Danio rerio: one gene and its partners. The main gene of each other region encodes a partner of the protein of the gene in region 3 in a complex. Links are inferred from orthologs where the notes say so. Each region holds a gene or a part of one and is shown on either strand. Other genes may lie near its edges. The genes, in order: timm9, timm10 and timm22.

The links.
Region 1: the proteins of timm22 (region 3) and timm9 are in contact, whole or in part, in a cryo-EM structure (PDB 7CGP), measured with the Homo sapiens proteins. The link is inferred for Danio rerio from reciprocal best matches to the Homo sapiens genes TIMM22 and TIMM9. Residues at the interface, in NP_037469.2 of Homo sapiens: Asp35, Arg37, Gln38, Pro39, Arg40, Leu42, Gly45, Ser46, Leu47, Gly49, Ile50, Ser52, Pro53, Lys60; in NP_001291414.1 of Homo sapiens: Gln13, Glu16, Phe17, Thr20, Leu57, Thr60, Gln61, Met65, Phe67, His71, Gln74, Asn75, Leu78, Lys81.
Region 2: the proteins of timm22 (region 3) and timm10 are in contact, whole or in part, in a cryo-EM structure (PDB 7CGP), measured with the Homo sapiens proteins. The link is inferred for Danio rerio from reciprocal best matches to the Homo sapiens genes TIMM22 and TIMM10. Residues at the interface, in NP_037469.2 of Homo sapiens: Tyr25, Ser26, Leu28, Leu29, Gln30, Tyr31, Leu32, Val33, Arg40, Leu42, Leu47, Gly48, Glu67, Glu144, Ser145, Tyr146, Gly148, Ser150; in NP_036588.1 of Homo sapiens: Pro3, Ala6, Gln7, Leu9, Ala10, Ala11, Leu13, Glu14, Val15, Met17, Met18, Ala19, Tyr22, Ser44, Lys45, Gly46, Glu47, Arg53, His62, Glu63, Gly66, Leu69, Thr70, Ser73, Met74.

What each region holds. Positions count from the first base shown.
Region 1 is NC_133192.1:12,573,208-12,575,073, reverse strand, and holds the end of timm9 (mitochondrial import inner membrane translocase subunit Tim9), read right to left. Parts: exon of another isoform or gene 1,059-1,866; coding exon 924-1,058; 3' UTR 634-923; downstream 1-633. UniProt on the Homo sapiens protein: Mitochondrial intermembrane chaperone that participates in the import and insertion of multi-pass transmembrane proteins into the mitochondrial inner membrane.
Region 2 is NC_133176.1:47,648,183-47,651,895, reverse strand, and holds the start of timm10 (mitochondrial import inner membrane translocase subunit Tim10), read right to left. Parts: upstream 2,953-3,713; 5' UTR 2,774-2,952; coding exon 2,703-2,773; intron 1-2,702.
Region 3 is NC_133180.1:68,924,559-68,927,859, reverse strand, and holds the end of timm22 (mitochondrial import inner membrane translocase subunit Tim22), read right to left. Parts: intron 1,204-3,301; coding exon 1,131-1,203; intron 1,017-1,130; coding exon 940-1,016; 3' UTR 603-939; downstream 1-602. UniProt on the Homo sapiens protein: Essential core component of the TIM22 complex, a complex that mediates the import and insertion of multi-pass transmembrane proteins into the mitochondrial inner membrane. In the TIM22 complex, it constitutes the voltage-activated and signal-gated channel.

The DNA of each region.
Region 1 (1,866 bases), on a different chromosome or scaffold from region 3:
GCGTTATCCTGCTGGAAGTAGCCAACAGTTAGCGGTGACCTTTCTATCAGCTCAAACCAATCTGGCCATTCTCCTCTGGCATCAACAAGGCATTTGCCCCCACAGGACTGCCGCCAGCTGGATATCTTCTTTTTCTAACCATTCTCTGTAAACTCTAGAGATGGTTGTGTGTGAAAATCCCAGTTGATCAGCAGTTTCTGAAATACTCAGACCAGTCCGTCTGACACCAACAACCATCCCATATTCAAAGTCACTTAAGTCACCTTTCTTCCCCATTCTGATGCTCTATTTGAACTGCAGTAGATCGTCTTGACCATGTCTACATGCCTAAATGCATTGAGTTTCTGCCATATGATTGGCTGATTAGAAATTTGCATTAACGAGCAGTTGGACAGGTATACCTAATAAAGTGGCCAGTGAATGTAAATCCATGTATACATAATTACAGGAATTAACTTAAAGTATTTGCATGATTGTAGATATTTTCACTTCAACTACAAAATATAGCTATAATTTTTATATAGTTATTTATTTAAATTATTGTTTTTGTCATTGAATTGAAAATATCAGATTTTTTTTTTGTTTCTTGATCAACCTATACTTGTATATATTATTAATAAATTTACTCGGGAATGAGATGTTCATAACATTTTATTTTTGTAGCATGCTAACATAAAAACAATCAAGATCTTTCATGTTATGTGGCCGACCTGCTTAATGTCCCGAAAATGAGGAATGTCTTTCCATTTGGGGGAAACCAAAAATCCCATCAGTCCAGATATCTGCAGGCAGACAGTAGAGGACTTCTCCCGGTATTATCTGCAGTCCTGAACCTCTGAGGGCCCGTTTGGAGACTCCTGCTCTGTGCTGGAAATACAGAGAGCCTGGCGTAATGGTCTGGAGTTCAGTCCAGCAGCAGTCTGTTATCGTGGTTGTGCTAATAATCCGGCTTTGGCGGCCAACGCTTCGTTCTGCTGGATGTGATATTCCTGGAAGCGCATGGAGATCCTCTGTGTCATCTTCAGGTACTTCTGCAAGCAGCTCTCAGAACATGTGGTCTAGAAGAATGTTGATACTTAAAATTAAGATGTAGCTTTACATATAATGAATAAGTGTTTTTATTTTTTTATTTATGGTGACATGACACAAAAAACATTGCAAAAAATGTTTGTTATAATAATTAAATTGTAAATATTTTTCTCTTGCCAATTAACAAATCCAAACTTGTATTTATATATTATTAATGTTTTGACATGTATAGTTATTTTTAACACAGACTTTATGATAAACATATAGATCTGAGATATATCTTGAAATCTCAGATCAACCAGGTATTGTGGAAGGACGATTTTGGGGGTAAAACCTTGAGGTTTTACCAAAAACTGTGAGATACAAGCTTGCTAAAGTGTCACCGTCATTAATCAACTAAACGCAGTGGTCACCAAACTTGTTCCTGGAGGGCCGGTGTCCTGCAGATTTTAGCTCCAACCCTAATCAAACACACCTGAACAAGCTAATCAAGGTCTTGTTAGGTATACTTGAAACATCCAGGCAGGTGTGTTGAGGCAAGTTGGAGCTAAACCAGCAGAGACACCGGCCCTACAGGACTGAGATTGGTGACCCCTGAACTATAATAACAACTGTGAGGAAAAAGTTTAAATCTAAATATTTAATGAAACAGAATTTTACCCTGATAACTGTTATTTTGTCATTTTAATATTATAGTTATTTGTTATTTTAACAAATATAAATTCATTTTTTATTCCTCTGAATTATTAGAGAAAAAAAAGGCAAATTAGTGAATTCTTATCTTTCAATATGGAGGTCAAAAAATCTGATGTTATTCTCATAAGTTTAAATCCCACA
Region 2 (3,713 bases), on a different chromosome or scaffold from region 3:
TGTTTCCCACAAATGGGTTGCGGCTGGAAGGGCATCCACTGTATAAAACATGTGCTAGATAAGTTGGCGGTTCATTCCGCTGTGATGACCCCAGATTAATATAGGTTAATAATAATGAATGAATGTTTATATGCTGAATCGGTGCAGGGAAACTACATTTTCCATGATGCTGTACAGACTTTCCACCAATCACAAAGCTCCAGCGAGGAAAGCACACATTATTGATATTTAGCTCCACACGCTTCCATGAAGAAACAAAATATGTCAGATATATTGTTTCTATATAGAGAGCCATTCAGTTTTAAATAAAAGATATACATTTATCTGATGTTTTTTTTTAGAAATTGGGTTCACAGTACTTCATGATGTTGTAGCTCTTACCAAATTACTTGACTTTTGTCAAATTTTCATGTATTTTACTTTTGATACACATTCAGATTCTCCTTGCAGCTGTTTGGTTTGGTTCATGGCTTATAATTCTTTACCAATGATCATTTCTAACATTTTAATAAATAACATGAATGGGAAAAACAGTTTTGGAACAGCTGAACAACGGATTTAAGCACTAATAACGTCCATTAACTCAATCCGTTATTTTATAGAGACTACAACAGTAGGGCTAAACTATTGACAATCAAGGAGTAAAATTGTATTAGGCATTAATACTATCTGAAGAAACACCTGACAACAGGGTTGCCAAATCTGTGGTTTTCCATCTGGTTAAGGTTAGACAAATTGCATCAATTGTATTGTAGGGTTGTGTTGAAATATTTTGCTCTCCCAAATTTATGATCATAAAAACTGCTAGGATGATGAAATGGAGTAAGCACACTTTTGTGAAGTGCACTAGAGAAGAGACTTTGTGTAACTATTTTCGTTTCCACAATAGATTTGCAGGACCCTTCAAGACTGTTGCTAAATTATAGCAGCAAAAATATGTGATCTGGAGAAGTCAGTCGATTTACAATTAATATCTTGAATGTATAACATTCATCAACAAGCTGTACTGTCAATTTCAGTACATTTCTTTATGATAACATAATCTTTATAATTAATAATATATTATTGAGTTTGGATATTTTTATTATAATAATATAATATTATTAGAGTTGTTTTGGCCTACCTTTTTGCTCTTCCAAACACTTTTTTTCTCTCTCCTCAGAAATAATTCAATACATTATTTTTTACCACCATTTTTTCATGGTTCAAGGAATCCATAGAAAATTTTAAATATTTGTATAATATCAATATAAATATAATTTATATGGGACATTCTACCTGAGATGTACATCATTCGTCCTTGAAATAAAAACAAATAGTGAATATAAAAGGATTTCATCCCAAAAACTTTCTAAACTGAACCGATGGTTGATTTCTGTGAGTTGTTCTGTAAAGGAATATGTCATTCATTTGGTTCTTAGATTTTTGCTCTTTATTAAAAACATTTTACACTGTATAAACCCTGTCATCCTTGTCCTCAGCCCAACTGAACCTACAGTGTTAATACTTTTGTTATGCTATAAACTGTTATTTAGGGGGAAAAAACTTTTAAAATAGCAAGTTTAAGTTATTAGCATTCACACTAACTGATTAAAACATGAAACTATAAATAAATTCAACAAAGAAATACTATTTTACAATTGCCCCCATGTTTCTGTCAGTCCTGTTACATTTATATTAAACTTAAAATAAAATGCATGCAATACACCTTTAAGGCTATGACTCGTTTGATGAAGAAGCTGACAGTGATCAAAGATGCATTCTATCAATGAATTGTATGATTTCATGCTTGTTTTTGCATGATTTTTTTGTTTTGTTTTTTTTGTTTTTGAGAAAGAAAAGCTTAAAGGTCAGGTCTTATCACATTTTTTATAAGTGAAAATGTACTTTTCTGGTAGAATGTCCCATATTATAGTACCAACAACTATACCTTTATATTTATAGCATCTATAACAAAATGTAACTTGTAATATTGACATTATGTAACTAGTAATTTTCAACAAATAATAAGAGAAATATCCATCAAATTGAGTAGGTGATTATCCAGCCCAACCACATACAATTATTAACTCTAGACTTTTACATAGTAGGAATAAATGCATAGGAATGGCAAATATTTAACTTCATAACAACCGAACATTACATAAAACACTCAATTAGTCTTTTTTTCACTTAAAAAGCTCTTCACAAGGATATACCAATGTCAATGTCACAGGCATTTTTATATAACATTTTAATACACCAATCTAATATAAAGCATACTAATAACTAATAATTGTGTATTTATACACAAATGTTGACTTGTACATTGGATCAGCGCATACATTTTAATTAAACACTCAAACTTAACTTTCTCAAAGTGACAGAGGACAAAAAAATGAACCTGACGGTTCAAGATGTGCAGGACTTGAATGCATGGACCTGTCACTGCAATAGCAATGCTCGTAATCTGATGATACAGGTTATTGCAGCAAACATCAAGGATTATATAGATTTACTGAATTCTGCCCTAAAATGTCAAATTATGCGATCTTGATCAAGGCCTGGTGTCTTAATACACATAATAACGTTATACTACAACTAATCGTAAAAAACAAATAGCTACACAAACTACTGCACAATAGCATATCTGATGTCTGCATCAATAATGCAAGTAATGTCACACAAATAATTTTTGTTGCATATGAATAAAATCTGCATACCGGTTGTACATGTCAGCCATCATCTCCACCTCCAGCTCTGCGGCGAGCTGCTGCGCTTTCATTGGGTCCATTTCTGCAAACGTCCTTTCGGTTCCCCCTCGACAAAAACCCACCGGTCTGCGCGCGGATCCCGTTCAACAAAGAGCCCCGACAGCCTGCTTTAACCTTCAGTGTCTGTGTGCTTGACCGGAGAAACAACCCACGTGGATCCTCCTTTCCATCCAGCGTTGTAATTGCTACATCCGCTGACAATAAAGTTTTCTATTGAAAAGTGAGACGCCTCGTGGTCGGTCCGGTCCGCTGCTCCGATACGTCAACGCAGCCGCCATCTTAAACCGGTCATCGGTGCGCTGTAAACAGACGCAACTGAACGGAGGAGCTGCTTTTTCTCGGATATAAAATACAATAACGCTTACATTTATTGACTGATTATAATTTCATATTGTGAAAAAACCTAGGAGAAAGAAAGCTCAAAAGTGTAATGTATATTTTATGGTATATATATATATATATATATATATATATATATATATATATATATATATATATATATATATATCAATAAATAAGTAGTGCTGGAATCCTCTTTTTCCCCCTAACAGTTTTCTAACATTTAACAAAAACAGTTTATAAAAAGTAACGATTAAGAAAAACAAAAAGCATTATTATAATAGTACAAATTCCATACAATAACGTCTGCAGAAAGAATTCGATTGACATCCCCCTTTGTACATGCCATTAGAGGGGAACACCAGGGCTGCGTCCAAAACAGCATACTTCCATATAATACAGTACGCTAAAATCAGTATGCGAGCCGAGTGGTATGTCCGAATTCATAGAATTCGAAAATCAGTATGCGAGAAGTACCCGGATGACGCATCCCATGCACACTGCGCTATCCCAAAATGCCTCGCAAGAGAATTCATGAATGGAAGTAAAGCGACGCAACCGACACAGGAAGGTCATGTGATTATGACAAAATGGCAGATGTAGTACGTCCGAATTGATTTA
Region 3 (3,301 bases):
CGTAAAATAACGGCCGTTAAATTACAGACATTTACCATAAAATAACGGCCATTAAATTACAGACATTTACTGTAAAATAACGGCCATTAAATTACAGACATTTACTGTAAAATAACAGATGGCAAATTACAGACATTTACCGTAAAATAACAGATGGGTAATTACAGACATACTGCAATTTAATTGCTATTATTACTTTAAATTACACAAATGTGTCATTAAAATTATAAAACTGACCCAAGATCAAGTAAAAACTAGGAACGTTTTTAAAAAGTTCTTGCTTACAATAAACCCATTCATGGGTTCATCGGCCAAGAATGAAGAATTACCAAGCTTGAAATGTTTTGAACCAGTTGTGACATAACCAAGCCCAGTTTTATGAAATCATGTGACCTTGGCCTTGTTTGATACATGCTCCAAAAACCACTGATTTGAAACAATGTTTATGTTTTGCAAATCTGCCATCACTACTTTGACGAACAGAAAGCTGCTTGCTTTGAAACGAAAATCTGTGAGCCTGTTTTATGTTCATTATTACATTACTGAGACAATGCCAACACACTTCTTGCTTGTTCAAATACGAATTTCGCCACAACAAGTACTTTATATCATTCTTTATTTCTATCACAGACAAAGTATAACACTGTACATTTAATTATTATCATTTATTTTTTGCTCGGGCATCATCCTGTTTAACATTTACAGGTACAAATATTGTCCTAGATGTTTTTGTAGTAGTGCCATCAGATGATCTGAGACAGAAAGGTCAAGATATTCCAAACCCTGCATAAAACTTCTGCTCATTGGTCCACTGAGGCAACTGAATCTCTTCAGGAGGAACAGCTCCTGATTGGTGGAAGAAAGAAAGGCTGGACATTGTCTTCCATTATACAGTGAGCAGCTCACAACTGTACAAGCCAACAGTCCTAAAGCTGATCTTCATCGGAGGTAATATTCAATGGCAGCAGAGAAGGCAGCAAAGCCTCCACAGCCCAGAACTCCAGCTTTAAGGCCGGCTAGAGAAGAGAAGCACAGCTCATTGAAATAGTCCAACTTATGATAATAAAAATGAGATGATATTTAAATGTGGGATGTTTAAAAAAAATAAAATATAATCAAAAAAGACTTGCCTCTGAATCCGATGGCACCTCCTGTAATACAGCCACTGTATACTGCATTCTTCCAGTCAGACTTCCCACGATGCTGGTAAAAAATAAAAGCATTTTTCAGAGAGAGAAATAAAATGGCCTTTGAAAAATCTCTACAATGGACACTTTTCACATTTCTGGGTTTCTCAGTAGTGGAAGTCGTCATGGTTGGGTAAACTTGGAGCGCAGTGAATGGGAGCCAATCTAGAGCCATATATACATGCAAAATAAAAGAACGTTTTTTTGAGCAAAAATAAATAAACGAAAATCCCCCAAACGGGGGAAATAAGTTTTAAGAAATAAATATGAATTTTGCAAAAAAAAAAAAAACTGCAAATAAATCAAGCAGTTAAAAAAATATTTCACTTTGTGAAAAAAAGGGGAGCAGAGTCAAGGGAACCTGGAAGTTTATGGCAGGCCCAGACCTGCCTCCATTTAAGCGACGTCATCAGCTAGAGACACAGTATCACCGAGGTGGTCTTACAGCCAAGTAGCTCCAGCCTCTGCCCTTTGTCAAATTAGGGCCACAAAGTGAAACGTGCAGAAATGTAAAGTGCAAAATAAAAACAGCATCGTAGACTCACGGTTGACTAAAAAGCTAATCGAAATGAACATTGCAATTGACTGGACGGGTTTTGTAAAGGCTATGCTATCAAAGATGTTTTGCAAATATATTGTAGTTTTTTATAGCAAATATTTCCGTTTTTTTGCACTGCTTAACTTGTATTTGCAGTTCTTTTTTGTTTGCAAATTTCATTTTTATTTCTTAAAACTTCATTTTCCCTTTGCAATTCTTTATTTTTATCAGAATATTTTTACTTTTTAAAAAAAAAAAAAAATTCGCTTGCGATTTGCATTTATTTATTTATTTTTGCTCAAGACTTTGTTTTTGTTTGCAAAACTTTCTTTTATTTTGCATGTATATATGGCTCTAGATTGACTCCATATACAACAAATATTTTTACAATCTTATTTGCTGAAATAATAAAATGAATCTCCACAATGGTGTAATCAAGACTTTCAGAAAAAGAAATAGTGTCAGACTGATAATGACAGACAGTAAAGAGAACAACGTCCCGTCAAATGTACTGTCCCGTCCATAGACGCTCCATTACAAATGCCTCACACAAGCGGTAATTCATTTTTTGTAATTTGATGCAAAGATTATTTAATACATACATAAATACATATCCCTGCTGAAACAAAATGCTTAAATCAACCTAGGCTGGTTGGCTGGTCATGCTGGGAGATGACCAACTAAAACCAGCTTGACCAGCCAAAACCTGCAATGTCCAGCTTAAACCATGCTTGTCAATCTGGTCATTTTCCAGCCTGAACAGCTAAGAAAAGGCTGGAAAAGGTTCATGATGTTTTTTAAAAATCAAAATATTAAAAACTTTCAAGGATTTAAGATGGCGATGACCGTTAAACACATCATAACGAGTGAAATGAATAGATGATCAGAAAGTGTTCAAATACAGAACCACTAGGTGGAGACAATAATCCACATTAAACTGAATGTGCAGCAAAAGATGCTTCTATGAGTGGTGCATTTAATGTTTTAACTTTAGTGAAATATTCAAACATTGTGTACTATTTTATACAGTCTAAACTGATATATCATTTATGCTGATTAGTACGTGATATAAAACATAAACAGTGTGAAACAGGTTTGAATATGTACTGGGATTATGAAGTGACACACTAGTGAATATCTTATTTTGAACAGCTATCATCAAGACAAAAATTGAATGATGTCTATTTTACATTTACTAATATATTACAAATGTGTGCTATTCTAAGTACAAAAAAAGATATTTATATTATTAGATTACATTTATATTTGTATTAGATAATCCATGATCTATAGGAAAATTATCAATCATTAGCAGCTTTTTGGTACAGCAATAGTTCTAAAATAATGAAAAATAAATTGCAGACAGCCCAAAATAAGTTGTGTAGAATTATTATGAAAGTTCCTCCACTGACACATTTAAATAAGGAACATTATAGTCAAAGTCATTTTTTAAAAGTTGAGAAAGTTTTTAGGACTTTAAAAAAAACAGTCCCAAAATATTTTCTTAATTATTCTGTTTTAGTCAGCCAGGTGCACAGTCATTCTACAAGAGCATGCAGCAGGGATTTTTACCCAT